Linked DNA regions of Rattus norvegicus. The protein of the gene in region 1 interacts with the protein of each later gene in a pairwise test. Links are inferred from orthologs where the notes say so. Each region holds a gene or a part of one and is shown on either strand. Other genes may lie near its edges.

Evidence for each region.
Region 2: the proteins of Cep63 (region 1) and Ints6l interact in a two-hybrid assay, tested with the Homo sapiens proteins (2 studies listed by BioGRID and IntAct). The link is inferred for Rattus norvegicus from reciprocal best matches to the Homo sapiens genes CEP63 and INTS6L.
Region 3: the proteins of Cep63 (region 1) and Pcnx4 interact in a two-hybrid assay, tested with the Homo sapiens proteins (2 studies listed by BioGRID and IntAct). The link is inferred for Rattus norvegicus from reciprocal best matches to the Homo sapiens genes CEP63 and PCNX4.
Region 4: the proteins of Cep63 (region 1) and Gse1 interact in a two-hybrid assay, tested with the Homo sapiens proteins (2 studies listed by BioGRID and IntAct). The link is inferred for Rattus norvegicus from reciprocal best matches to the Homo sapiens genes CEP63 and GSE1.
Region 5: the proteins of Cep63 (region 1) and Htt interact in binary tests that used the Homo sapiens proteins (3 or more experiments, as listed by UniProt). The link is inferred for Rattus norvegicus from reciprocal best matches to the Homo sapiens genes CEP63 and HTT.
Region 6: the proteins of Cep63 (region 1) and Ndel1 interact in a two-hybrid assay, tested with the Homo sapiens proteins (2 studies listed by BioGRID and IntAct). The link is inferred for Rattus norvegicus from reciprocal best matches to the Homo sapiens genes CEP63 and NDEL1.
Region 7: the proteins of Cep63 (region 1) and Ppp4r1 interact in a two-hybrid assay, tested with the Homo sapiens proteins (2 studies listed by BioGRID and IntAct). The link is inferred for Rattus norvegicus from reciprocal best matches to the Homo sapiens genes CEP63 and PPP4R1.

What each region holds. Positions count from the first base shown.
Region 1 is NC_086026.1:112,081,847-112,086,057, forward strand, and holds the start of Cep63 (centrosomal protein of 63 kDa), read right to left. Parts: upstream 2,801-4,211; 5' UTR 2,528-2,800; intron 2,416-2,527; exon of another isoform or gene 2,185-2,415; intron 1,817-2,184; exon of another isoform or gene 1,668-1,816; intron 322-1,667; exon of another isoform or gene 313-321; coding exon of another isoform or gene 284-312; intron 1-283. UniProt on the Homo sapiens protein: Required for normal spindle assembly.
Region 2 is NC_086039.1:139,294,230-139,298,290, forward strand, and holds the start of Ints6l (integrator complex subunit 6-like), read left to right. Parts: upstream 1-1,261; 5' UTR 1,262-1,647; coding exon 1,648-1,758; intron 1,759-1,902; coding exon 1,903-1,980; intron 1,981-3,842; exon of another isoform or gene 3,843-4,061.
Region 3 is NC_086024.1:96,888,460-96,891,959, reverse strand, and holds part of Pcnx4 (pecanex-like protein 4), read right to left. Parts: intron 2,655-3,500; coding exon 2,291-2,654; intron 1-2,290.
Region 4 is NC_086037.1:65,493,483-65,497,459, reverse strand, and holds the start of Gse1 (Gse1 coiled-coil protein), read right to left. Parts: upstream 2,801-3,977; 5' UTR 2,737-2,800; coding exon 2,730-2,736; intron 1-2,729.
Region 5 is NC_086032.1:80,216,869-80,221,099, forward strand, and holds the start of Htt (huntingtin), read right to left. Parts: upstream 2,801-4,231; 5' UTR 2,634-2,800; coding exon 2,434-2,633; intron 1-2,433.
Region 6 is NC_086028.1:54,041,536-54,045,035, reverse strand, and holds part of Ndel1 (nuclear distribution protein nudE-like 1), read left to right. Parts: intron 1-1,355; coding exon 1,356-1,529; intron 1,530-3,500. UniProt on the Homo sapiens protein: Required for organization of the cellular microtubule array and microtubule anchoring at the centrosome. May regulate microtubule organization at least in part by targeting the microtubule severing protein KATNA1 to the centrosome.
Region 7 is NC_086027.1:112,851,767-112,855,746, reverse strand, and holds the start of Ppp4r1 (serine/threonine-protein phosphatase 4 regulatory subunit 1), read right to left. Parts: upstream 2,801-3,980; 5' UTR 1-2,800. UniProt on the Homo sapiens protein: Regulatory subunit of serine/threonine-protein phosphatase 4. May play a role in regulation of cell division in renal glomeruli. The PPP4C-PPP4R1 PP4 complex may play a role in dephosphorylation and regulation of HDAC3.

The DNA.
Region 1 (4,211 bases):
ATGTCCTGAGTTCAATTCCCAGCAACCACATGGTGGCTCACAACCATCTGCCCTCTTCTGGTGTGTCTGAAGACAACTACGATATACTCACCTAAAATAAATAATCCTTTTTAAAAAAAAATTGTTATATGTTCAAACAATTTAAACACATTAAAGTCTATTGGTTTGTTGGTTTGTTGGTTTGTTTTTAAGGTAACGCCCTTGGGTTACTTTTGGAGGTTGCTAAACTACAGATTTAAACACATTCAAGTTTATCTGTTTTAAGGTAGAGCCCTTGGGTTACCTTTGGAGGTTGCTAGGCCACCAATTCATTGCTGTAGTCTGAAAGGAAAGGAACAGAGTTAAGCATTTTCTTGCTATTCCTGGATAAGCTGTATTCAGGATAGTCAGATAAGAGTGCACTGGGCGCATGACCGTGGCTGTCCTGCAGTAACAGACCTGGGCACTATTAGCCATGTTAAATCTCTCTATTGACCAAAGGGCTCCTGGGCAATTTCATGGTGGATCAACTGAGCAGACAGCATAGGAACCACTACATACACAGCTTAATCTCAACATCCCAAGTGGGATGACTCAGACATTACAAGTCTCCCTGATAATGAATGCAACCGATAATTTTCATAATATAAAGCCTATAACTATTACGTTTTTCTTATACCTCCAATCAAAAATCAAGGTTGAATCTAACACTATTTCAAAAGATCATTGTATTTCAACAGAACTTTCTGTAATTATGGAAACATTTTATCTGTATTGATCAAACAGTAGCCACTAGGCAACCTGTGAACGCTGGGTATATCAAATGTGGCTAACGCAATTGAGGAACCAAACTTTTATTTCATTTAAAATATCAGGACTGGCTGATGACTGCCACACTGGACAGTGTAATTCAAGATTTAGCCAGTGGAGGAGAGGTCATAGAAGAGTAGAGGAACATAGTCAAAAATATATACAATCAGTTAAATCTGAATGATAAATGGAGGTAAGAAAATGCTATAGATTAGAGGGCTTTAAAGGCCTAGCAATCGAAGGCAACAGACAGTTCTCTGCAGGAAATCTGGTCCAAGCACAGTATTTCAATTTCAAGCACATATGGAGTAGCTGAAAAACCCTGAACCCATTGGATATTGATATTGTGTATTTGTTATAAATTTGTACTGATATAAAGATAGCACCGTGATTTTGTAAAACTTAAAAAAGCAAATCTAGCCTTTGGCATGGAGAGTACCTTAACTATGTTAGCTATGATAGTGTGGACTAATGCTGTCACCATCAGCCACTACACAGGACAGGAAGGCCTAAGGAACTGTCCCCTACCTCCCCACAGGAGGAAACAGCATCAGCAGATACACATTCTAAAGGGACATGCATCTGTTTATAAATCTCTAACCCATTTTAGTTTGACAACCTCCTTAACTGATCGCTGAGGACGGCACAGTGAAAGACAAGAAGCAGGGACAAAAATTACCTAAAAATGGCGCTGCATTCCAATGAATGAATATAATTCATGAATGAAACGAAGATAATTCGTTTCATCGTATCACTAAGCTACAGCCTTTAAGAGTAGGTGTAAATAGTTAGATAATTAAAGCCATTGATCTTTGACTTACAAAATATAAATACAAAATAAATGCAAATGTTCGAAGAATTGTACAAAGAGCACCTACCCTGCTTTAATAAAGTAATACATTTTAAAACTCTAAATTGGCCTCAAGAAAGAGAACTCAAAAAGCCAGGCGAGGTGGTGCAGATCCTTAACTAGCAGGCAGAGGTAGGTCCATCTACAATGAGGCCAGCCTGGTCGACCAGAGCAACAAAGGAGAGCCGGTGCTAGTTGGAGAGAAAGGGGATCGCTTTGAGCAATAAGTGTACAGTTTATAAATGAAAACTCTGTAACCCCACGATTCTGTGAAGTACAAAAGCCCTTTCCAATCAATCCATTCACGGTCAAGTGTCTCCGCGTAAAGCGTTGTTATCGAACTGCTCTTTCAAAACTTTCACTCGACTTGAAAGCGTTCCGCAATTCGCCTGCATCAGGGGTTCCCGCACCTTTCCTACGAACATTACGAGGGAACCCTGCGGACTTCACGCTGAGTGGCTAATGCTAAGGCCTGGTCCTACACCCGTAGCAGCAGGGTTCCTCCCCGGGAGCGAAGCAACCCGCCCTCCCGCTGGCCGTAGCACCTGGCCGGTCAGCTCAGAGCCCCATAGGGAGGAGACGGAGGAACCCAGGGACGCAGCGGCCGGACAGCAGTGGGCGTGCAGTGGAGGCCCCCGCGGTAGGTGGGCCGCAACGAACTGCGGCCCCGGGCCATGCGGCCAGAAGGTTAGCGGCACCACGGTGGCCAGGGCCGCAAACGCACAACAAGCCGCAGCTCGCCCGTCTTAGGGGCATGCGGTCGGTTACGGAGCGCGCCCCCGGCAGAGCGCGCCCCGGGGCCTGCCCGCCGTTCCTCTGACCGGGAACGCGCGCACGTCACAATAAATCGACGTTCGTCCCGCCCCCTACAGCAGCGAATGGACTCACCTACATACGGGGTATGAGAGCGCCGTGCGTCACGTGACCCGGAAGAAGGGCGGGGCCCGGAGGAAGCCGACGCGCGCTCTGTGGGTAAGGGTTTTTCGCGCCCGCCGCCCGGGTTTCTGAGAGTAGCCAAGCGTTCGCCCTCGACTTCAGAGTCGTTCAGCGCTTCCAGAAGCGCAGGCCGGTACTCTCAACCGACCTTCAGAGCCACTTCTTTACTGCACGCTGTGCGGAGTGGAACGGAGCACCCATGGCGACGCTCGACCTCCCCCTTGCACTTCCGCACGTAGTAGCTCCAGCACTCGAACCGGAAACGGCTGCAGCGGGTGGTTCTGCGTCTAGTGACCCAAGATGGTGGCCTGCGAAGGCCAATTTTAGTATCGGCCCCCGTGCTTTTAGCTTAGAAATACATTTACAAAGCTGTGATTGTGAAAATACATAAAACGTGAGTATGTCTCATAGGACGTACGCATCTAATATCTAGAAAGAGATGTCTGGACAAAAAAACTCCTGTTGTCACATATTGTGCTCAGAGATCAAGACAATCTGAGAGCTGAGAATTTATCTGGAGGACCGGGCATAGTAAGAGAAGAGTACAAAAAGTTTAAGAAACCTAGAGAGGTTATGCTGTGTCGTAAGGGTTTGGGGCATTGCCTGTGCTTGCTTTTCCCAGGGGGAGCACCCGATCACCTGACCCAGGAAAATAGATGTAGACTTCAAAGCCCTGCCGCGGTTCCTGTTGTTTAGAAGGACGAGCAAGCATAACTGATGAAGTACAGTGGGTGGGTAAAAAGCAAGCCGGTTTGTAGGCATGTGGGAGAGGGTCGTGTTAAAAAACATTGAGGCCGGGCTCAGGGAGTTAAAAAATCATGAGGCCAGGCTCAGAGAGATGGCTCAGGGGTTAAAAACACTGTCTACTCTTCTAGAGGTCCTGAGTTCAATTCCCAGCAACCACATGGTGGCTCACAACCATCTGTAATGAGATCTGGTGCCCTCTTCTGGTCTGCAGGCATACATGCAGGCAGAGAGCTGTATGATATATACATAATAAATAATTAAAAAACAAACAAACAAACATTGAGGCCAGCTTGTTGAAAGATTGGGAATCACCGCATTACCACTGGAGACAGTAGGACTCTGCCAGTCAATCACAAAGCTGACCTAACTTGTTTCATAGATCATTTAATGTGAGCAACAAAGCATTCAAGGACAAAGAGCCTGCTAAAAAACTGGAAGGAAGTCAGAACACTTTAGAAAAGGATGCAGTCTGTATAGGACTGGGAAAATCAGTACAGGAAAGAATGAAATGTAGCCCAAGACACAGCTATAAAAACAAAAGATTGACAGGAAAGGGGAGGAAACTTGTCAAGCCCTAGAGGAGTGACTAGAAGTGGCTCTTCAGCTAGCTTTGCATTATCCACTAGCTAGGGTCTGGTTAAGTCTGAGGAAAACTGCTAAGCCATCACCTGGTTTTCACTCAGCAGGAGGAGCTGACCACCTTTGGCTTCAGTGTTTGTATGCGGGTGTGTGGTGTGTCTGTGTGCATGAGCAGACAAAAAAGGTGTGGTTTCTGCCTACAGGTGGAGTCGTAGATGAGTGTAGAGGTCAGAGGTCAACGTCTGTGTCTTCCTTTATTACTTTGAATCTTAAACTAAACCTGGAACTTTCTGATTCAACTAGACTGCCT
Region 2 (4,061 bases), on another chromosome or scaffold:
GTCATGGATTCACTTCTGAAATCTTATTTCTCAGAAAACATTATATATATTACATATATATAATATTATATATCACATATATATAATATTATATATCACATAGAACATATACATAGAATATCTCAAACAATATAAAAACATTTGCAGATATGTATGCGATCTTCATGTTGTATTAAAATTGTAGTCATCAAAGCTCAAGATTCCAACTTGTGTACAGCGCATTGCTAGAAATACTGTCTCATCATCATCGTCGTCATCATCATCAGGATTGCTGGAGAATCAAATTCAGCGCCTCACATGAACTGAGCAAACATTGTACTCCTATGCTGCAACCTTACCTCATAGTCTATATTAAAACTAATGTCACAGCAATTGGAGTAGCACATGCTTGTAGGATATGTTGAAGAGTTCAGGACCAGCCTGAGGTACAAATTTTAAAATCGAGTCATAAGAAGTGGAAAGCCAAGTGTGGTTGACCAGTTACTGAGTACTTCTTACATGGAGCCAGAGTTGACAACTTCCCTCTACTGAAAATTGTTTCAGTACCATCGACACTACATGTCTCAGATTAAACGAGTCTACTAGGGTGCCTGGCACTTTTGTGGATGTTCAATAAACTTGAGTTGAAGCAGAATAAATACCACCCATGGATAAATGCTGCACAGACCCAACAGTGGTGGTTCAAGTATCACAGGCTGGCCAGTGTTTCAAAGCCCAAAAAAGCCTGTCCTTACAAAAGGACAGCTTAGGTTAACTGTTTCCGCGATAGCTTCCTTTTTAAGTAGCTATACGCTGAATACAACACATAAACGACACGTAAACAGTGATCAGGAAGAGGGACTAATCTAAAGGAATTTGAGCAACTCTGGCCAGGAAAGAAGTTTGCTGCTACTGAAATGTTTTGGTCTTAGCCACTGGCAGGATTGATTGATTGTAGTTCGCACAGCGTTTTGTGTGTAGCCTGCCTAAACATCTGTTTTTCTATAACTGTTGCTCAATTCTCTTTTCCTTTCGAATGACCATCTTTGAAGCACGAAAGAAAATCCATCCAAACGACCAAACAAATTATCCTAACGGCTTCTAAATCCTTTAAAGGAGAATCTGAGCTTAAAGAGGGTCTTTTACTCCCCCGCCCCTTACCTCCAGCATGGGTTCAAACTACAATTCCTAGGCTTTGTCCAAGTCCCTCCCTTTACCCAGTCATCTAATGAATATGTAAATTAAACATAATTGGCAGCCAATGGCGTGGGTTCTGGTCACATGGTGCTGATGGTAGGTGAGCAGACAGAAGTTGTGTCAGTGAACAGAGAGGGCTCTCAGTCTGGGGCAAGCGCTCTAGTGAGCGTGGACGGATGCTTAGGCAGTAGTCCTGGCAGCGGCAGCAGCGGCGGGCAGTAGTGGTGGCAGAAGAGGGGAAGAGAGACGGCCCGGAGACCTACACACACTCACACTTTCAAGTTCCCTTGGAGGGAGAGGAGTTGGGGCTGCAGAAAGAGGCCGGGAGCGGTCCCATCTATCCCATCCCGTTTCCCCCCTTTTCCTCTTGCTCCCTGGCTCTGTGAGAGTTCAGGATTTGGGTAGCCATACGTGGCATTGAGGGCAAAGGGGCCGGGAAAGTGGGGACCAGAACCAGAGGTGTAGTGGAAGATGCCCATCCTGCTGTTCCTCATAGATACGTCCGCCTCCATGAACCAGCGCACTGACCTGGGCACCTCCTATTTGGACATTGCCAAAGGCGCTGTGGAGTTATTCTTGAAGGTAAAAGGAGGGGAAAGGAGATGAGGGGGTCGCTCCTGCGGGATGGGGTGGTGGTGGACTGAGGTGCTTCTGTAACGTTTGTATCGCTTCCTCTCCTTTCCTACGCTTTCCTACGCGACCCCTCCGTCATCCCTCGCCCCGCAGCTGCGCGCCCGGGACCCGGCCAGCCGCGGAGACAGGTACATGCTGGTCACCTACGACGAGCCTCCCTACTGCATCAAGGTAAACAGGCCAGCGGGGGAGCGGTGGGCGGGAAGAGCGTGCGCGTCCACTAGCCTGGGGCTGCTGATCCCTTTTGCCTCCACCCGTGGCGATCCTGCGTCGCCCTGCAGGACGGGCTGGAGTGCGGGACGCCGAAGGGCGGGAGGAGCGGGGCGGGTGGCGGCGGCCGGGGGTCGCAGAGAGAGGCCCGGAGATGAGCAGTCCGTGCAGAGAAGGCACGGGAGGGCCGAGCTCCTAGCACGGCGGCAGCAATCGACTCCGAAGATGGCGGACATTTTGCTTTTGTATGAGGCAGCCAGAGGCAGGGTGAGGGCGCTGCTGAGATGGAAAGGAGGGAGGGGAGGAGGCCGAGGAAGGAGGGCTCAAGGCCCTTGGTGAGGCTGCGGTCCCTTCGCCCGGGACTCCGCCCCGATGTGCTCCTAGCCCGGCGCGGGCTTTGCTGCCGCCTGGGCTCCTCCTCTGGTCCCTCCTTCCATCCCTCGGCCCGCCCCGCCTGGGCTTCCTCTCCCTCCTCCCTCTCCGGTCCGCTTCTCCTTCACCGCATCTTCCCCTCCTCTTCCTGCCAAACGCGGGGCTGCACTAGCGCTGGCCTCCCAGAGCCGCTCCTTTGCATTCGAGGCCCTGGCCCCCGCCCCTCTCGTGCCACCACCCGCTCGGAATTGCTTAGCCTACGCTGCTCCCAGCTCCCAGACCCTGCGCGCTCTGTCAGGTTGAGCCCTGCTCTGCTCGCAGTTACCTTAGCGACAGTTGCTGTTTCATTGGAAATTCCTGCGAAGCAACCACAGAGTGTTTGGGGGAGGGGAGGGGCGCGCGCGGGAGGGGGGGGGTGCCCGAGCAAAACCTTCTTAGGGAACTGGTTTAACAGGGGCCAGAGTATTTTAGGGAGCAGGCCTACCTATTTGCATCCGAAATTAGGTTTGCTCTTAGCCGCATAGGGATTTGCCAAGGGGACGATTGGACTCTGAGCAGATGCACTAGACCAAGTCAATGATTTGATTCTCAGGGTCTGACCCTTAGCCTCCGTGGGGTAGTTATTTGTGTTCCCATGGTAAAGAGATAAAGAACTGGTTCGCCTGCAGTGGGTAGATAAGAGGAACTCAAACTGTTAAATCATCCCGCCTAAGAATCGTGCTTGCCTGTTGAAATATTAGAAGGTCGTTACCATTACCCTTGATGTCTTTCACTACTGCGTCATCCATCTGGCCCCCCTCATCCCCTCGCGGGATAACTTATCTATCTCAGTAAATTAACTGGAGGTTCAGCCTGGACGTGTTGTAAGCCCTGGTTTAATGAGTTGTTCCCTCTCAAAGTAAGTTGCCTAGTGTTCTTTCAGACAATGAAAGCGAAGATACTGATTTGGTAACTCTCTGCTTTGATTAAAAGTTGAAGTTGTAGGATTTTCCTAATACTATTTTGGTTTCAACTCGTTTATTTTCATTTTTTTTATTTATCTGCTAAAAAAAATTCGAGCCACTACATATCTTGCAAATATCGAATATTTTTAGAAATGCCAGTTTTCCAGGCCAGCCTGGACTAACATATTGAGAATCTAGAGCTGGAGACATAAATTTCAGTAATGGAGCATTTACAAATATGAAGCTTTGCAAAAATTCTATTCTCATCGTAGAAAAATAAAATACGACCCAGAGCCTGAATGTTTGCACACTTCGACTATTACTAACAGTAAGAGCCTACCTTTTGTGGTGTGCTCATTTGAAGATGCATCAGTTAATTTGAAGCAGTCGAGGGGATAAACTACAAAAACAGTTCTTATCTATCGTTTTATTTAAAGGCACAGCATTTTTGCAAGGAATGCTGGTAGTTCCTAAAATAGTTTGTTTTTTTTTTTTTTTGAGTTATAGGAATTACCGGACAGCCTGCTGTGGAGGTCTTTAATCAGCGTGCCTTTAATCCCCAGCACACGGAAGGCAGAGTGAGATGGACCTTTATGAGTTTGAGGCCAGCCTGGTCTACATAGCAAGTTCTAGGACAGCCAGGGTTCTATAGTGAGACACTTTCTCAGAAAAAAGAAAAGAAGAGAAAAGAAAAAAAAAAGAAAAATAAAGAGAAAGAATCACATG
Region 3 (3,500 bases), on another chromosome or scaffold:
GAGTGAGGTAACCCAGACAGAAAAGAGCACACATCGTATGTACTCACTGATCAGTGGATATTATCCAAAAGAAGCCCGGAATACCCACAATACAACTCACAGACCATATGAAACCCAAGAAGAAAGAACATCACACAGAAGTGTATATTCTACAGTGCTACTCAGTAGGGGGAAGGGAGTAATCTCTTGGAAGTAGAGGGAGTGAGGAATCTGGGAGGGAAAAAGGGGGGCCAGTTCAGTTATGGGAGGAGATGAGGGAGAAGGACAGAGGGTCAGGAATTTGAAAGTCGGTGTGTAGCAGTGGGGATGGGGAACTGGTGGTAGCCACTAGAAAATGCCAGATGCCAGGGACCCAAGAGGTTCCCAGGACCCAATAGGGAGGACTTTAGCTAAAATACCCAACAAAGGGGAGATAGAACCTGCAGAGAGCTTATCCAGTGGATAGGCACAGCCCCCAGTTGAGGGATGGGGCCACTCATCTCAAAAATATTAATCCAGAATTTCTCCTATCAAAAGAAAATGCAGGGACAAAGAGTGGAGCCGAAACTGAAGGAAAGGCCATCCAGAGACTGCCCAATCTAGGGATCCATCCCATCTGCAGACACCAAACCCAGACACTATTGCTGATGCCATGAAGTGCTTACTGACAGGAGCCCTGTATAGCTGTCCCCTGAGAGGGTCTGCCAGAGCTGGAACAATACAGATGCAGATATACGCAGTCAAACATTGGACTGAGAGCAGGGACCCCAATGGGGAAGTTAGGCCAAGGACTGAAGAAGCTGAAGGGGTTTGCAACCTCATAGGAAGAACAACAATGTCAACCAACCAGACCCCCTAAAGCTCCCAGGGACTAAACCCCAACCAAAGAGTACAAGAGGATACCCATGGCTCCAGCTGCATAGATAGCAAAGATGCCTTATCTGGCATCACTGGAGAGGAGCCGCTTGGTCCTATGGAGGCTTGATAACCCAGGATAGGGGAATGCTAGGCCACTGGGGCAGGAGCACGGGGGTTGGGGGATGACACACTTATAGAGGTCGGTGGGAGGGAGGAGGGGATGAGGGCTCATGGAGGGGAAACTGGGAAGGGGGATAACATTTGAAATGTAAATAAATAAAATAACAACAACAACAACAAAAGAATAGAAATGAGTACTCACTGCATGCCATTAAGTCAAGCTCTTTGTGAACATTTGGAAGGGTTATCATAAAGGCAGAATACAGAAAAGTTGAGGCTATGTTTGTCAGCAAAACCACCAAGTGGAGACTATTGAATAAAATGCTCAATATGCATGAAGCCTACTAGGGAAGACTACAATGCATGAAGCCGGCCTCACGCTGATCTAAACGATAAACATAGAACAGTGTGTTATGGTTTTGAGATGTTTATATAGTTTACATCAATTTGCGATGTATGCTTTTAAAACTTGGGTCTCTCTTTCAACATAGGACCTATAAGCCTTGCTCATGTTGACTGCCTCCAGCTCCCGGTCACTCAAGTCGTTAGAATTCACTGTGACTGTAGGAGGTTTTGAGCATTCTTTTTCTGGCTGGGAAACAATTTAGGTATTTCTAGTTCTTTTGCTCTTAGAAATAGCGCATCTCTCTCTCTCTCTCTCTCTCTCTCTCTCTCTCTCTCTCTCTCTCTCTCTGTGTGTGTGTGTCTGTGTGTGTCTGTGTCCTTATTCAACATGTGGCCATGATGGGTTAGCTCAGCAGGGCTGGACACTACCCACTGAAATGCCTACAAGAGATTGATTCCCCAAGTGGGCGCCTGGTGAATCTCTACTGGCCCTCAGTATTTGCACATGTTTGTATGCCTGCTTTCCTTTAAAGGTCTCCGTACTGGGATGTACTAGGCAGGGTGATCCACACCAGCAGCTGCTTTCCTTTTACAGGTAGAACCCACTGTATTGACTTGACAGAAATTCATTTTAAGTTCCTAAGAAGCATGAGCAGAAAGGCAGAAAGGTTTTGTTTCAATGGTGAGCCTGCCAATTGAATTTATTACAAAAAAAGTTTTCCTTTTTAAATGGCCAATTCACTCTGGGGAAATTTTCCTTAAGTATTTTTATTATCATTTTATCTCCAAGTAAGCAGTAGAGATATAATTCTATTTCATATTTAGTCTCTGGTTATACATCAAAGTACTAGAATCTGTTTTATGGTTGGATCAAAGGGATCTTCTGTTTTGTTTTCTCCCTCCCTCCCTCCCTCCCTCCCTCCCTCCCTCCTTTTCTTTTACCTCAAATATATCAGAAAGAAGTTTTTAAGCACAGCTTACCACTCACCTAAACTTCCAGCGGCCATTGCAGTCTGCAGTGCTGAAGTCAGCCTGGGGACCATCTGCTGGTAGAACACCGTGTCTGTGCACACACAAGCTGCAGTGCCCACTGCTCCTGGCCAGCTCTGAACTGGACGAGGGAACCCCACCAAGAAAACAGGCAGTGTGAAGAGAGGCAGTAGAGGAGAGGACAGCACTGTTGAGACAACTATAATAATCAGCACAAGGGGAGCAAATATGGCGTTGAGAACACACAAAGTTGTCGTCAGTTTTCTATGCTGCTTCTTCTCCGTCCATGATGCCAAAAGTACAGTCACAGCAAACTGCACCTTAGTAAGGAACTGAACCAGACGGTCTCTCATGATACCAACCTGCAGACACATAAAAATGAGCATTTAACCATGTCTTGTAGTTTCAGAAAATCATGTAAAAATAAATCACATAATGATTATATGACTGCCTCACTATTTTGAGGGAGCAGCCCCAGCAAGCAATTCCTTATAATTTTCTGGAACCTCAAAAGCAATAAAGGAGAAGCTAGGTTTATTAGTTTGGTGTTTTGAGGAAGGATCTCATGGAGCCTTGGCTGGCCTCAAACTTGCTTGGTAGTTGAAGATGACCTTGACCTCCCAACACTCTCGGCCTCTGCCTCCTAAGGGCATGGGAGCACAGACCCCGGCTTGTACTGGCAGCATCTGATGTGTGTGATATCTGCCACGCCACTCATCACTCCACCCAGTGGTTGTGTTGTTAACCTAAGCTTCATGTCTATATAAAGTAAATTGTGCTACACCACTTAAATGTTATGGTAAACGACCACAAGTGACTGGGATAAACTCTAGGAAAGCACAGTTATGGATGCCAACTGAAGAGAAAAGCTAGACTGATAACAAAAGATTGAATTCAACTACATTGAATTAACTAAGATTGAATTAGTATTTTTATATTAGAAGTACAGGTTGTTAGGGAGACTTAATCTCTAAAATGTAGTACAATGATTAAAGTTTATAACTTAGTTCTATGAGCTCAGCTAAGCACTATTTTATGTTACTATTTTTTCTTTTTTCAATTAATTTTTTTCTCTTGGTCAATTTCATACATACATACAATGTATTCTGATTATACTCCCACAATCCTCTCATCTCCTCCCCTCTCAATGCACCCCTCTCCACAAATCTTTCCCTCACATTCATGACTTTTGGTTTTGTGACCTACTG
Region 4 (3,977 bases), on another chromosome or scaffold:
CCTCCCAGCAGCGAGCGAACGCGAGGCTGGGTTCAGGAGGCGCTCGATAAATTCTCATTGACAGGAACACTCAGAAGCGTCACCTCCCAGGCTGTGGCCTGTGTGCCTGGGGGCGGGGGGAGAAAGGCCAGCGTGGGAAGTGAAGCCAGCACAGTACTGGCGGGCTGCACTTGGCCAGGCCGAGGAGATCTGAGACTCCATGGGGGCAGAAATTAAAGTGAGTCGGCAGGTCTGCCGCACAGCCACCAGGCTGAAATGTCACCTCAGACGAGGTTCTCTGCAGGTTAAACATGCTCTCTCGACCCGAGATCCCAGGAGAGGGAGGGAGAGGGAAAGACGTGGGCTAGGCCTCATAGAGGGATTGTGGCTGTTGCCACAACACGGGTAATTAACGTGCTCCCCCCACCAGAAGGCTCCTATCCAACCCCACCAGGCATTGGAGTAACCCAGGCTGGGCATTCCAAGGCTGCAGATGGGGCCAGGAAAAACCGGCCTTGCTGGCTCACTCCACAAGCCCCTGCGGGTTCCTGGGGGCAAGGGGGAAAAGTGGCAACTGGCTATTATTACACAGTGAGTCTCTAGGAAGGGGAGGGGGGGAACCAGCAGGGAGCCAAGGCTAGACCTCCTCCACGGCAGGGAAATAGACCACACCTGCCTGAAGGGTCAAGGCCAGCTGGGGACTCAGCGGGCTGGGGCTGATGGAGGGCCTGGAGGAGGTGCAGGCCCCTGGTCCACCACAAAGAGGCGCAGACCTCTTCTTCCCCCTTCCTCTGGCTAGAGGTGCAGAGTCCTGAGGTGGCTGCCTTTCTGCAAACCACACAGCCCTTTGAGATCTGCAGCTTCCAACTTCCTCCAGAGAGACAGGGAAGTTACTCACAGCCAGAGGCCTGCCTGCCTGCCAGCTCTGCCAAGAGCAACAGAGGCTTCCAAAGGGTCAAGCTTTTTCGGAACCTTCCTGACATTCCGACCCCATTAAAAACAGAATTGCCCCAGGTCATCCCCAAGGTTAGGGGGCCTGACAAGGCTTGGCTCCTAGTAATTTTAAAATGTTAAGTTTAAAGGAACTATATATATACACCCCCTTTCAACCCTAACCGGTCAGGATCCTAATAACTGCCCCCAACAGGTCAGGGCCTGATCTGGCCTCCTAGCCTTCCTGGTTCAGAACCTGCCCTAAGGCAGGCAGAACAGAGCCCAAAGCTAGGACAGGCCTCCCACCTCCTTTCCGAAGGCGGGGCTGACCCCGGGTCTCTGGCTGGCTGCTCACCAGCGCCTCCCCCCTCCCCCAGCCTCCTCCGCTCCTGCTGCCAGACCAGGCGACAAAAGCCAACCTTGTACCAAGCCATCAAGGCACCCCCCAGGAGGTGGTCAGGCGTGACCCGGTGCCTGTGAGAAGTGTTGAGCAAGCTGCTTCTGCACAGCAGAACCCGATCGGGTGAGCCTGCCAGCAACCCTGTTCCGGTCCACCCGGTGGGGCGTGACACCCAGCACAGCAGATGACACACGCTGCCAGTCGGAGCCTGTGCCCCGGCCCCCCTCACCTGTGGCGGGGCGACTGAGCGGCTGAGTCAGACACAGCCTGCGCCTCAGGTTCCCCGCCTGCGGGTGGGGGCGGCTGTAAACACAGGCTGAGCAACACTTAAGTAGCCAAGCTTAAGTAACACGGACGCCCAGGGAAGGCTGCTCGCCAGGGGGGGCCCTGTCTTCCTAGGGAAGAGGGGGTAAAACAGTCTCAGGCAAGAGACTGAGACACTGCCAAGCGCCCAGCCAAGACCTCCTGCCTTTGTCCCCTTTGCTGGAAATCGGCTTAGGCCCGATGCTCCCTCCTAGAGTGAGGCTGCGCCTTTTGTTCCGGCCCCCTTTACAAAAGGATCTTGTATTTTGCCCCCCCTCCATTTGGTGGTCCCGCTTTTTGTTTTCAAACCCCAACCTGTGTGGGCCCCAACCGCGACAGATAAGACACTGCAGGGGTCTAGCAAGGGTTTAGTGTGCTTTAAACGCATGGAGACAAAGGCTGGTTTGCAAGCACCAAACCGACCCAACTCGAGCTGGCACCCCCACCACGAGTGGCAGGTGCGCGGGGGCGCCCCTCGCTCGCTCCGGGCTCCGATACCCAGATCTGCGGCCCCTAGCCTGCTCCTCGCAGTCCTAAGCGGCCCCCTCCACCTCCCTGCGCTCGGAGAGGCGGGCAGCGGGGAGGGCAGCCCAGCTCCCGCTCCGCCTCCAAGAAGGGAATTTAATTAGCCTGCCGGAGAGGCGGCGGGCGACGAGGTGTCTCTGGTGCTGCAATATAATTGAATCGGCTCCACTCGGGCGGGCCACTCGCCGTCAGCGCGGCCGCGGGGGGCGGGGAGGCGCATCCAGGCGGAGCGGGAAGGGCCGGGCGGGGTCGCGGAGGCCCCCTGAACTGCCATCCCAGGCAAGGCGTCCCCCACACCGATCCAACCACCTGCCTGGGCACCCCCGCCCCATCCAAAGTTTTGCTTCAACCCCGAGCCCCGGAGCCGCCCCCGCACACTTCCCCGCGCACTTCCGCGGTCGCAGAGCTCGCTGCGCCCAGCGCGCGCGCGCAGCCGCGAGTGTGGCTTCAGGTCGGCCGCGCGCCCCGCGCTTCTCGTACCTCGCACCCGCGGGACCTGGCACCGGCCGTTGGCGCCCCTCCCGAGCCCACAAACTTGGGTAGGGGAAGAGCGAGGGAACCCCCGTCACCCCCCTACCCGCGCGCTCACCTTTCATGCCAGGGCCCCGCTGCTCCGCCGCGCCTGACACATGCCGGAGCCACCGTCGCCCGGGTTTGTCTGAACTGCTTATCTCACCCGGGGCTGTGCGGCGGCGGCTCGGCCGCTCGGGGAGGTGGAGCTTCCGGGGCCTGGGCCAAGAAACACCTGCTGCTGTCGCCGCTGAGGACACACCCAAGCGCAACGCCGCCCACTCCCCGGCCCCGGCTCGCTCCCGGCGCCCTGACCTCAGCCGGCGGGAGGTGTCGGGTTTCAGCCGCAAGCGCACGCGCGCGCACCGACGGACCGCCCGGAGCACCCAGCGCGGTCACAGCCCGCCGGGTAGGTGCCGCCCCCGCGCTCCTGGCGACCCGGGCTGGACAGTCGAGGGGGACCTCTTCGAGGCTTCGCGGGCCACTCATCTCCCAAGAGTAGAGAGGAGTGGCTTACAACACTCCTCTCCGCCTGCCATATCTGAGCCTCAAAGCCGCCTCCCCAAGCGCCTGGAACAGTGCCTGGCACCTGGCCACCCACTAAGAGAGGGGAGGGATAAACCCAGCGCTCAGGAGGACTTTCCTTGTGCTGAGTGGAGGGGACTACACAATATAGGCCGCTGGCCTCCCTCGCTCTCCAAGATGCCTGATCTATTACCGCAACTTTAAAGGATTTAATGTTAAGAGCTGGGGCCACGAGCCTCTGACCCAAAGTTTTGCAAAGTCTCCATCTTTAAGAAATTTTTGTGAAGGCCACACGGGGGGGGGGGGGGTCGAGTTCTTTAAAGAGCCCATGTTCGAGAAGCTTAAGTCCACGGAGGCGCCGCTGCGCCAGGGGCATCATTAAGTAGCTGGGGTTGCGGTCAGAGGCGAGGCCGCTGCCGCCGCCTCCAGAAACTGGCACAACCCACCGCGCCACCGGCCCCAGCGCACCGCCTTCCCATTCTTGATGCCCCCACCCACCCTACCTCACCCAGGCACTTCACCGGGATGACTCAGGGAGCGTCCTGAAATTCTTCGGCACCCACAGGCGGCGCGGAGAGGGACTGGGCCCCAGCGTCCCCGCCCCCAACGCGACCGGTCCCCAGGACGTCCCCTTCCCACCACCCGGGAGGCGCGGGGTTATAGGACAAGCCCGGCTGGGTCCCTCGGCCGGACCAAGCGCGCAAGGAGCAGCCAGAGAGATGGCAAGGTCGTCGCGAGGTCCCGGGGTCTCCCCCGCCCGCCCTCTCTACACTGCTCTCTAATGATCCTCCGCTTTCATACT
Region 5 (4,231 bases), on another chromosome or scaffold:
TGAGGTCATAACTTTGTTCCCTGCTAAAACCTGGAACTAGAATAAGTCTGGGCACACAGGAGATGATCAGCAAATATTGATAAATGAATGACTACGATCAGGAAACCTAATGAGGTCTATTAAAGGTGAATGTCAACTGCTTAAGGCCTATCGGACCCAATGCAGCCAGCTGAGCAGAGAACAAGTTCTCGGCTATTTCAACAGAAGCCCACGCATGGCTGTGACACTGGTTCTATGGAACACAATGAGAGTCATAAAAATAGAACAGATTCATTCTAAAACTGTTTTGGCTGGTCTCACTTTGAAAAAAGGACTTTTAAGCGGAGTGAGTGAACAGAATGCCAAAATCAAAGCTTCCAAGCAGTGAGTTTGTTACTTATTATTAATGAGCATTTGGTTTTTCACAGCAAAGTACATAGAAATATAAAATATACACTAATGGAGCTGACTTTGGAAAATGTTACAGTTGGTGATGTACAGTGTGGTAACAAGGGGTTGTTTAAGCTTTTAAAAGCTTTTGTTCCAAAACACTTTTGCTTATAAAGAATTTAAAAAGCCTGCCCTAACATATGCCCAAATTTTATCTGGAAGGACAAATGAAGTGTAACAGAGCTTGCTCCTTGGTACAGAGTTAGGAAACGGGAAGGGAGATGTTTTCATTATTTAGCCTTTTTTATCTATGGGACTGTATCATGTTTAATGAATTACTTAATTACTTATGCAAAAACAAACTAATTTGTGTTTGAAGCGGGTACAGAACACTCTCTCTGACAAAGACACACACACACACACACACACACACACACACACACACAAGTTTACAGAATATGTGGGAAATATGTAAACTTCCACAATTCCTACCACCAAGAGAGGCAGAGTCATGGTAATAATCTAAACAACTAACTAAAAAAATATTTGAACAGTCAAGCATGGTGCCACATGCCTTTAATCCCAGCACTGAGGAGGCAGAGGCAGGAGGATAGATCTCCATAAGTTACAGGAGTTACATAGTGAGACTGTCTCGAAAGCAAAAAGAAATTACTTATCTAGAGATAAGAGGTTTTCTATTCACAATTTTCACCTTATAGAAGATAAATTTATTCATATATTTTGTTCTACAAATAAGACAACATTTCTCCCCAAATCTTTATCTTTTAAAAGTAAACTCAGAACAGGGAAGGGATGCTATCAGAAACACAAAAACAAAAAAAAAAAAAATTAGTAAAAATGAGCTTGGAATAAGCTCAGTGGTATCATTAGAACACTTGTTTTCTAATGAGTTTTAATGTCCTTCTTTAGTAGGTTGTTTCCTGAAAGTTCTCCTTATTAATTATACAAGTTCAGATTAGAAATAAAATGCCCAGAGTTGAGAGAAAGACCTGAGCTCAAGAAATCACGGGGCTGAACACCCAGCATGGACTTCCAGGAAATATCTTGAGCATCTCTTTTCTCTTAGAGCATTGTGACTCATGATCTGTCTTCTGTTTCAATATTCTCTCCAGTCACAAGCAGTGAGCTTCCAAAGATCTATAAGATGTCAGTAAAGAACTAAACAGGAACTTTTACTGGTACACGAGATATCTACACAGAGTCTGAGTGGTCCATGTTCTAAAACAAGCTTGACTGCAACACTCCCGGGTGTAAACTGCACAATACCAATGTATCCATTTTATATACAACAGAAAATAGATAGGCAATAAATATCAGTCCACTCTTTCATATATATGCACATACACGTATAATTTGTATTAATAATCACACATAAGTAATTCACCGTGTACTTGACAAATACAACTCATCCAACTGCCTGCAGACCAACAGAGCATACAGAAGCACACCTCTCCAGCGATGCTTAAAACCTTGTTAACTACACTGCACCATGAACTAAACGAAAACGCCAGGAGAGTATGAAGTGCCTCAAGTCACAGGCTGCTTCAAGTGTCACTTGGAAAAAGAATATCCCATTGGATGCGTTCACACTCCCCCGCCCTCAGCACTCCCGCCGAGACCTCCTAAAAGCATTATGTCATCCACTATCCGCACATCTCTCACGCTGTCCTGCACTCCCGGCTCCCAGGCCTGATGAGGAGGTAACCCAAGAGATCTCTGCCTCTCCAAGTTCTCTTCACAACAGTCAAGTGCGCCACCGCCCCAGTTTCCCCCGAAGAGAGAAACAAGTTCGTTCCCTAACTTCGCAAACTGGGAACCGTGAAGGCACTGGAGCCGTGACGCTCCTCAGCGAGTCCCTCGCTGGCCTGACCAGGCTGTCTCCTCTGGGGAAGGCCAAAGACCCCTCAAGGCAAGGGCCCGGGCCGGGAAGGCCTGGCCTCAGGGAGGTACCGCGACCCTCTGGACAGGGGACCGCGTTGGCCATGCCCAGCACGCAGGCCAGGGGCGCGGGCCCCGGGCGGGAGCTGCGGCGCCCGGACTCACGGTCGGTGCAGCGGCTCCTCGGCCGGACCTGGCAGCGGCGGTGGTGGCGGCGGCTGCCCCTGAGGCGGCGGCTGAGGGGGTTGAGGCGGCGGCGGCGGCGGTGGTGGCGGCGCCTGCGGCGGCGGCTGCTGCTGCTGCTGTTGCTGCTGGAACGACTTGAGCGACTCGAAAGCCTTCATCAGTTTTTCCAGGGTTGCCATGACGGCCTCCTGCCCGACAGGACAGACCCTGAAGGCTTGGAGCCTATTCGCACTACGCAGCGCCACTTAGCAGCAAGGTAATGAATGGGGCTCTACGAGGTAGACCGAAGCGGAACCAAAGCTCCCAGCCATCTTGGGCCCGTCCCGGCAACCCTCGCGGCGAGTGCGTCCCGTGACGTCATGCCGGCGGAGGCGAGGCCACGCCAGACCTGCAGAATTGACAAGCGGATGCGTCGTCCTCTTTCTCAACGTTTGGTCGTGGGCGTGCCCTGCCTCTGCTAGTTTATTAAGACTCTCCGCCCCGCCGATGAGGCCCCGCCCCTTCCCGGCCGAAGAAAGCTCCTCTGAGTGAAAAAGCCAAGCAAGAGGATCGGTGGGCGAGGCAGGCTGCCAGATGAGGGGCGGAGCTGAGCCGAGAGTGAGCGCGGCAACGGCGACAGAAAAGTGGTGAGGGGGTGGGCAGAGGAGTTGGGGAGACCCGGAAGGAAGGAAGGGTTGGAAAGGGGAAAGAAAGAGAAGAAATTTCCCTGCATAAAGCCACACTACACCTGGAGTCACCGGGAAGGCGACTGTGGAGCTCGGAACCCAGAATCCAGAGAGGCTCTTTTTTCCACTAGCCAGGCAATGGCCTGAGCTTCAGTCCCGAGCGCAGCGAACTGGGGAGCTTTGGTCAGACACACTACAATGAGACCCAGACCCTGGGAACTGCTATACCCATCAGCCAGAATCTAAAAGGGGGGTCTCATTGCCACCAGGGCTGAGGTCCTTGTCTCTAGAGCCTCCATCTCCCAAAGGTAAACAATTAAAAGCAGGAAGCTAAGAATGGTGCGAGTACACCCAGGCTGTTCCTTCAGCCTGCCTAGCAAAAAGTGTTGGCTTCAGCCGGGTATGGTGGTGCATGCCTTTAATCACAGCACTTGTAGAATGCTTTGAGTAGCATGCACAGAAGCTCTGGGTTTAATCCCTGCACTTTATAAACCAGGAGTGGTAATCATGCCTGTAATCCCAGCACTCAGCAGGTGGGAGGAGGATCAGGAGTTCTAGAGTTTCCCCTTGGATTCATAGTGAATTCAAGTCAGCATGGGCTATATCAGAACTTGTCTCAAAAGAAAAAGGAAAAGGGAAAAAGAAAAGAAAAAAAAAAAAAAGCCAGGCAATGGTAGAGCACACCTTTAATCTCAGGAGGCAGAGGCTGGCAGATCTCTTGAGTTCGAGGCCAGCCTGTTCTGCAAAATGAGTTCCAGGACACAGAGCTACACAGAAACCATCTCAAACAAACAAACAATGTGCTGGCTCCTGAAAGAGCTGTCTGGAGGTGATCCATGCTGTGAGAAATCCAATGAAGCTTCGGGCTACCTGTAAGACTCAAATGCCCTATTCCATGGCCATAAGACACTCCCTTTTCTCAAAATGGTCAAGTATACAGAAACCAATATTGTTCCTATAGGGGTATAAGCAGCCCGCTCCTGTTAAACTGCCAAGGACAGCAGAGAAACAGTCTTTAAATTCCATGTCCCTCCTGTTACTAATGCCACTGTTGGATGCACAGAGCCAGTGCCAGCCCTCACATGAGGCAGTCTCTAACAGCTGGTCAGGGC
Region 6 (3,500 bases), on another chromosome or scaffold:
CTTTTCCTGAAATAGAATCTTTTTGCATAGCCCTGGTTGTCCTGGGACTCTCTATGTAGACAAGGCTGGCTTTAAATTTCTCAGAGATCTGCTTCTTTTTATCCTTTTTCTTTTAACATAAGATATTTTTCAGGGTCATTATATAATTTAAAACATTAAAAATTCAGTATTGAAAAAGGATTTCATAGTGGTAGTTTAAAAAAAATCTGAGGTGTAGTAGTGCATGCCTTTAATCCAGGTACTCTGAAAGCAAAGACAATTGGATCTTTGTAAGTTTGAGGCCAGCCTCATCTACATAGAGAACTCCAGGCCTACCAGAACTACATAGTGAGACTTTGTTTAAACAAAATAATAATTAAAAAAAATATAAAACTTAAAATCTTCATTGGTTTTTCGTAGTAATCTGTGACATATGCAATACACACACACACACACATATATATATACATATATATCTCATATACATATATATATATATATATATACACATGAGAAGTTGTTTAGGAATATTTTGTGTTATTTAGTTTCACTATGAGTTCTACTTTGTGTCCTCTTTTTTTTTTTTTAAAGATTTATTTATTTATTGTATATGAGTACACTTTAGCTCTCTTCAGACACACCAGAAGAGGGCATTGGATCCCATTTACAGATGGTTGTGAGCTACCATGTGGTTGCTGGGATTTGAACTCAGGACCTCTAGAAGAGCAATCAGTGCTTTTAACCACTGAGCCATCTCTCCAGCCCTTTTTTTTTTTTTTTATTTAAAGACATTATTTTATGTGTGTATGTGCATGCCACTTATGTGCAGGTGTCTGCAGAGGCCAGAAGAGGGTGTTAGATCCCCTGAAGCTAGAGTTAGAGGCATCTGTCTGACATGGATTAGGAACTGAACTTGTCTAGCGGAAAAGCCGTCTCCAGCTCTCACTGCTCAATTTCTTTCTGCCTTTGGGCATAATATTGTTCTCTGAGAGGTTATAGCAGTTTAAAATTATTTTTTTAAAAATTATGTTTACTGTGTGTATGCGTGTGTGCGTGCCACTGTACAGATGTGGAAGTCAGAGGATATCTCGTAGGGTTTGTTTCTCAGTCTACCATGTCTGTCTTGGGGATGGAGCTCAGGCTGTCAGGCTTGGTAACAAATGCCTTAAGCTACTAAGCCATCTCACTATCCCACATTTTTAAATTCTAGGGAAGTTCACATTTTTTTCCAGAGATAAACATTTTTAGAATAGAAGCTTGTTTTGAGAAACTGTAACTTAGGAGGAATGTCTTACAGTGTTTTGGTTGGGACTTGAGCCAGGATATAGTTGCTCTCTCTAATGAGGATTCCTGCTTTTGTTTGCAACATTTTGCAGATTTAAGGCAAGAGCTAGCAGTTCGGGAACGGCAACAGGAAGTGACCCGAAAGTCTGCTCCCAGCTCTCCAACTCTGGACTGTGAGAAGATGGATTCTGCCGTCCAGGCTTCGCTCTCCTTGCCTGCAACGCCTGTGGGGAAAGGCACAGAAAACAGTTTTCCTTCACCAAAAGGTTTGTATTTTCTCTTTCAGCCATGTTAGATGATGGGTTTGAAATGCATTTGCTGATGTAGGGAAGCTGCTACAGTTAAATGATGAACAAGTTACTTTAGTATCCAGGAAACAAAGGTAGAATTGTTTTTCTAGGTCACTGTGAGATGAAGTCTGCACTCAACACAAGAGCAGCTTAAGTAAAATTCTTAAAGTTAAAAGTTACTTATTTGGGTTGGGGATTTAGCTCAGTGGTAGAGCGCTTGCCTAGGAAGCGCAAGGCCCTGGGTTCGGTCCCCAGCTCCGAAAAAGTTACTTATTTCTATGTTTTCCAAGACAGGGTCTCTCTCTGAGTAGTTCTGGCTCCTGGAACTCACTCTGTAGACCAGGCCGGCTTCTAACTCAAGAGATTCCGTGCCTCCACCTCCTGAGTGCTGGGGTTATGGAGTGCCACCATGCCCCGCAAGTTAAAAAGTTAAAAGTTTTAAAAGCTTATTTTGGTTATTGTGATATATGTTCGTGCAGATTTCTCTGTCTGTCTAATTTGTCTGTTTTGGGCCTGGGGATTGAACCCAGAGCTCTGTATGTGCTTGGCTAAGGCACTGACACTGAGCTATAATTTCAGTTCCATGTAGAGAATTTGAAAGTACAAGAAGATCAAGTTTTACAGAGGATTTTTCTTTGAGTTATTCCTTACACATTTCTTTGCTACCATAGATTGGTGTTTAGTTTTTTTTTTGTTTTTGTTTTTTTTTTTTTTTGGTTCTTTTTTTCGGAGCTGGGGACCGAACCCAGGGCCTTGCGCTTCCTAGGTAAGCGCTCTACCACTGAGCTAAATCCCCAGCCCCTGGTGTTTAGTTTTGAGGTGTAGTCTCATCAAGCCTAGGCTGTCCTGAAGATGACCTTTGAATTAATTCCTGATCTTTGCGCCTCTCCCTCCCATGTTCTGGGATTACAGGCATGTGCCATCACACCCAGTCTCTCATGTTAAGTTTTTTGATCCTACCTAAATAATTATTTCTCGCTTTTGCCATTTAGTATGTCATAGAAAAACAGGATACAGATATGAAGAGAATCTTTAAGTTACTATTTGGATTGCTATATGGTTGGCTCAGAACATTCTGTTGGATAGGTCTTGAACTACGCACTAAGGTAACATTCAGGGGAACTGGTAAGATTCACCTGTTGTCAGTCAGTGTTTGTTATGTGCACATAAGAGGTAAAGCAGTCTGTAACCAGTCTTAGAGCCTTGCAGTGCAATCCCAGAGCTTTCCAGTTCCAGCTTGTTTAGGTAGTCTGCAGTTCGTATCCCAGCTTCCTCCACTCGCCCTTTTTTCACCCTCAACAGACGCTGTCTCCTCTTGCCCTTCTTAAAATACATTTTATTCTCTAGAGTGAGAGGAGGTTCTCTGGGCAATTAGGACAGCATTTCCTGTATTTGTGCTGCTCAAGTAGCCACAAGTGACTGTTAAACTTTATATTAATTTAAATGAATGAAAGGGATTCAATTTCCTTTATCAGTCACATTTCATTATTGAGAATATTATCATGCTGATTACTGGCTTGGCACAGTATTTCTTTTATATGTGTGTGGTTTTTTAGATTTATTTGTTTCATATATGTGAGTACATTGTAGGTGTACTCATCTAGTCAGTGCTCTTAACCACTGAGCCATCTCTCCAGCCCCTGCACAGTATTTCTCTTCTCTTTGTCTTGCCTTGCTTTTCCTTTTTTTTTTTTTTCTCTTGAGATATGGTTTCACTTTGTAGTCCTGTCTACCCTGGTACTCTGTCTCTGTCTCCCCCCCCCCCCCCCCGCCCCCCCAACACACACAAGGCTGGCCTCAACCTCACAAAGATTCCCTGCCTATAACTGTACCCAGTTTGGCGTATTCTTTTATTTTTTTCAATTGCAAGTAATTTTTTTATACAACATTCTGATCCTGTTTTCCCTCCCTCATCCCTTCCCAGACCCTTCCTTCCTCTTCACCCTT
Region 7 (3,980 bases), on another chromosome or scaffold:
TGCCCTCAGTTCTCCCCTTCATGATGTCAGGCTGCAGCTGAGCTTGTCAGGCACCTTTATGCAGGCTCTAGAATTCTATGACTATGACCAAACTGTTTCATCAGAGTCTCACATGGCTTCACAGATAAACATGATTCTGGTTCACAAAAGGTGGGCAGAGCAGGGAAGCGCCTGGTAGTGGCTACTGTTAAGTATCACTGTGCTCAAGACCAGCATGGAGGTCATCTGAAAGGCACACTCCTGGACCACATACTCAGATATTGACTATGCAAGTCTAGAACGAGGCCTATGGCATCTGTTTTGATAAATATCCTCATTAATTTAAATGCAGACATACATTAAACAACCATATCTGTTCCTATCTCCTGTCATCTCTCTCAGTCACGGACGACAGCACTAGTACATAAGAAGGATGCTCCCCTTTGGCAGACTCTGACGCAGGCTCACTACTTCTGGTACTGTGGCCAGCCCGGGAAGTCACTCTGGCTCGAGTTATCTGCCCTAGTCTATTTAAAGATGCCGACCCCACCGCCACACTCCACTTCTCAAAAAGGATCTTCCTGTGTGCCCCAGCTGGCCTAAACCCAGTCCTCCTGCCTCAGCACCATAAGCACTGGAATTCTAAGCATGTTACCACAGCGGCTTTGTCATCCCTTGACTATGGGTCTCATCCTAACAGAAGCCATCTAAAGATGGCTACATCTACAGATGACTAAATCAGCTCAAATCTTACTCAGCCCAAACTGCAAATGCCTGCCACAGCTTCTAATGAGAAACTTAGTCCAGGCTAGCCTAAGTTACCACACAGCAGAGCTATACAGAGAAACCTTGTCTCAAAATAAAAAACAAATTCAAAAAACAAGCAGAGAACAATGATATGTGTGTGTGATACATTGATATATATATATATACATGTATATATAATACACATATATCATATGTAATACATACATGAAAACGTCACTAAAATTGTTTAAAACCTCTCACTGCTGCTGGAAAAAAATCCCTGTATATATGTGTACACACACCATATATACACAGCTGGTGGTTTCTTTAAATAAAACAGCATCAAGGTGTTACATAAATGCAAAGGTTACATTTGCTACAAGGTTTCTACAGCTCATTGAAGCAGCACACTAAGTGTCAAGGTTTATTTACTATTATGTGAGGAGGGCGTGGGATTGTGGTAGATCTGCAGGGCCTGTGGGTAGATCTGCTGTGTCCGTGGGTAGATCTGCAGGTGCTATGGCATGTGTGATACAGGCAGGCAGTTCTCTCCTTCCACAACACCCGTTATGGGCATGAGGGTCAGGAAGCACCATTACAAAGAAGCTCTCTCTGACGTTTTCTTTGCAGTGCTGGACGGAGGTCCAAGTCTCCATCACAGGAAGCAAGCACTAAGTTATACCCAGCCTAGTACCTCACCTCTCAATTGATGGTAATACAAATTAAAGATGAAAATTACAATTCTGAAAATAATCTTTGAAACATGCAAAAAGGTATAACCAGACAAAAACATAGGAATAAAAATGGGATTATAAGAAAATACTTAATTGGACTGGAAAGATGACCCAGTGGTTAAGAGCACTGACTGCGGGGCTGGGGATTTAGCTCAGTGGTAGAGCGCTTACCTAGGAAGCGCAAGGCCCTGGGTTCGGTCCCCAGCTCTGAAAAAAAAGAACAAAAAAAAAAAAAAAAGAGCACTGACTGCTCTTCCAGAGGTCCTGAGTTTATATCCCAGCACCCACACATGGTGGCTCACAACCATCTGTAATGAGATCTGTCACCATCTTCTGGTGTCTGAAGACAGCTACAGTGTATTTATATTTTTTTAAATAAATCTTAAAAAAAAAAAGTGTGGGCTATCATGCCCAGCCCATTATCTGATTATAGTATACAAAAAAAAATACTTAATCTGAAAGGAACCTATGAAAGGAATAAGCAAAAAGTAATGAAACTAACAGAAAAATACCAGCCCTAAGTACACCAAACAGTTATCCCACCTAGAAATGGACTATTTCAGTTAAAAGAAAAGATTACGAGGCAAGGACAGCACTGAGTACTGTCTGTTAACCAGAGCCTCTTTCTTTCCTTTTGCTTGAGAGCATCTCACTGTGTAAGCTAGGCTGGCCTCAAACTTACTATGCATAGCCCTGGTGATCCCAGCACTTGGGAGGCTAAGGCAGAAGAGTTACGAGTTTGAGGCCAATCTGGGCTACAAGTGTTCTAATCATATAGAAGGAATCCTTATAGGAACCTAGGCATTCCTATCTCAAAGCCTGAGATAGGAAAACTGCTGCTCACTGTAAATTAAACTAAGCACATGCATCTTTCTAATTCTGGATCACAAAAGACATTGTTTTATTCTTAAACCTCATGAAAGATGGCAAAGCAATAACAGTAAGAATATTTCTGTTAACAATGGAGCACGGGGCTGGGGATTTAGCTCAGTGGTAGAGCGCTTACCTAGGAAGCGCAAGGCCCTGGGTTTGGTCCCCAGCTCCGGAAAAAAAAAAGAACCAAAAAAAAAAAAAAAAAAAAAAAAACAATGGAGCACTTCTCTGTATAAAAACACAAAGTTACAAAAACCACCCCAGGAGACAGTACAAACAGCACCATCTGCTAAATCCCACCCCTCTGCACACAAAGAAAATACAAAGTAGTTGAAATCATCTTAATCTTCAGCTTTCTAAGAGATAGTATTATCTAAAATATAAAAGTGTAAAAACTAGGGCTGGAGAGATGGCTCAGCGGGTAAGAGCACTGACTGCTCTTCCAGAGGTCCTGAGTTCAATTCCCAGCAACCACATGGTGGCTCACAACCATCTGTAATGGGATCTGATGCCCTCTTCTAGTGTGTCTGAAGACAGCTACAGTGTACTTATATATAATAAATGAATAAATCTTAAAAAAAAAAAAGTGTAGGGGTTGGGGATTTAGCTCAGTGGTAGAGCGCTTGCCTAGGAAGCGCAAGGCCCTGGGTTCGGTCCCCAGCTCCGAAAAAAAGAACCAAAAAAAAAAAAAAAAAAAAAAGTGTAAAAACTAGGAAGGCATGGAATCTACTCCAGGTCTGGGTCCAGCTCTCAGGCTCGGCTGCTTATAAGCTATCCTGCCCAACGAGAGCGATGGTTTAATTAGAGCAGACTTTACCATTGACAAAGTGGCCCAACTTACAATGACCCCCTGCTTCTGCCCCCCTGATGCTAGCAATACAGGTGTGCACCACCACACTGAGCTGCCATCGAGACTTTCAGACACCAACCACGATGTTGTCTACAGAGGACCTGACAGAGCCCATAAACAGACCTTCCCACTCCACAACTCTGCATCTGGAACTGTCTCCAGAGATTTAAATTTCAATGTTCCTTCTGTGTTTTAAGTTTTCATTGATCCTATGAAACTAGCAAATAGAGCAGCACCTACACTATATAGTGGCATGTAGGGACCAAATGATTTTAAAACCCAGGCAAAAAGGTATTCCTAGGAGGTACACACTAAGAATGAATGTGTGCACATGGGTACTCACACATTCTTTTAGATGGCCTGGTAAGGAAGTGAAGCCCTTTCTTGGAGCCTGAGTAACAGGAGAATCCCTTCTAAGTAAAAAGTCCAAAAGCTGGTGCTCACTCTTAAACCCAGACCTTGTGGAGCAGAAGCAGGTGGATCTCTGAGTCGGGAGGCCAGCCTGGTCTAGTGAGTTCCAGCATGCTATGTAGAGACCCAGACCATCAACACCAAGCGAGTCCAAAACTCTATTTCAGTACAAAGCCTGAGCTGTCAGACCTGCAGGCACTGTTGGTACAGAAGTGAGAGTTGCATAAAGAAACTACCTCAGAAATCCACTCATGGCAATTTTACAGAGTTTCTTTTTACTTCCTAATCACTTTCCATTGGGACAGAATTTTGTCCCAATATGCTTTTATGCTTGAGATTTTGTTTCTTGGTGACAAAGAGAAGCCTTTATGTGACGTTCCAGGCGA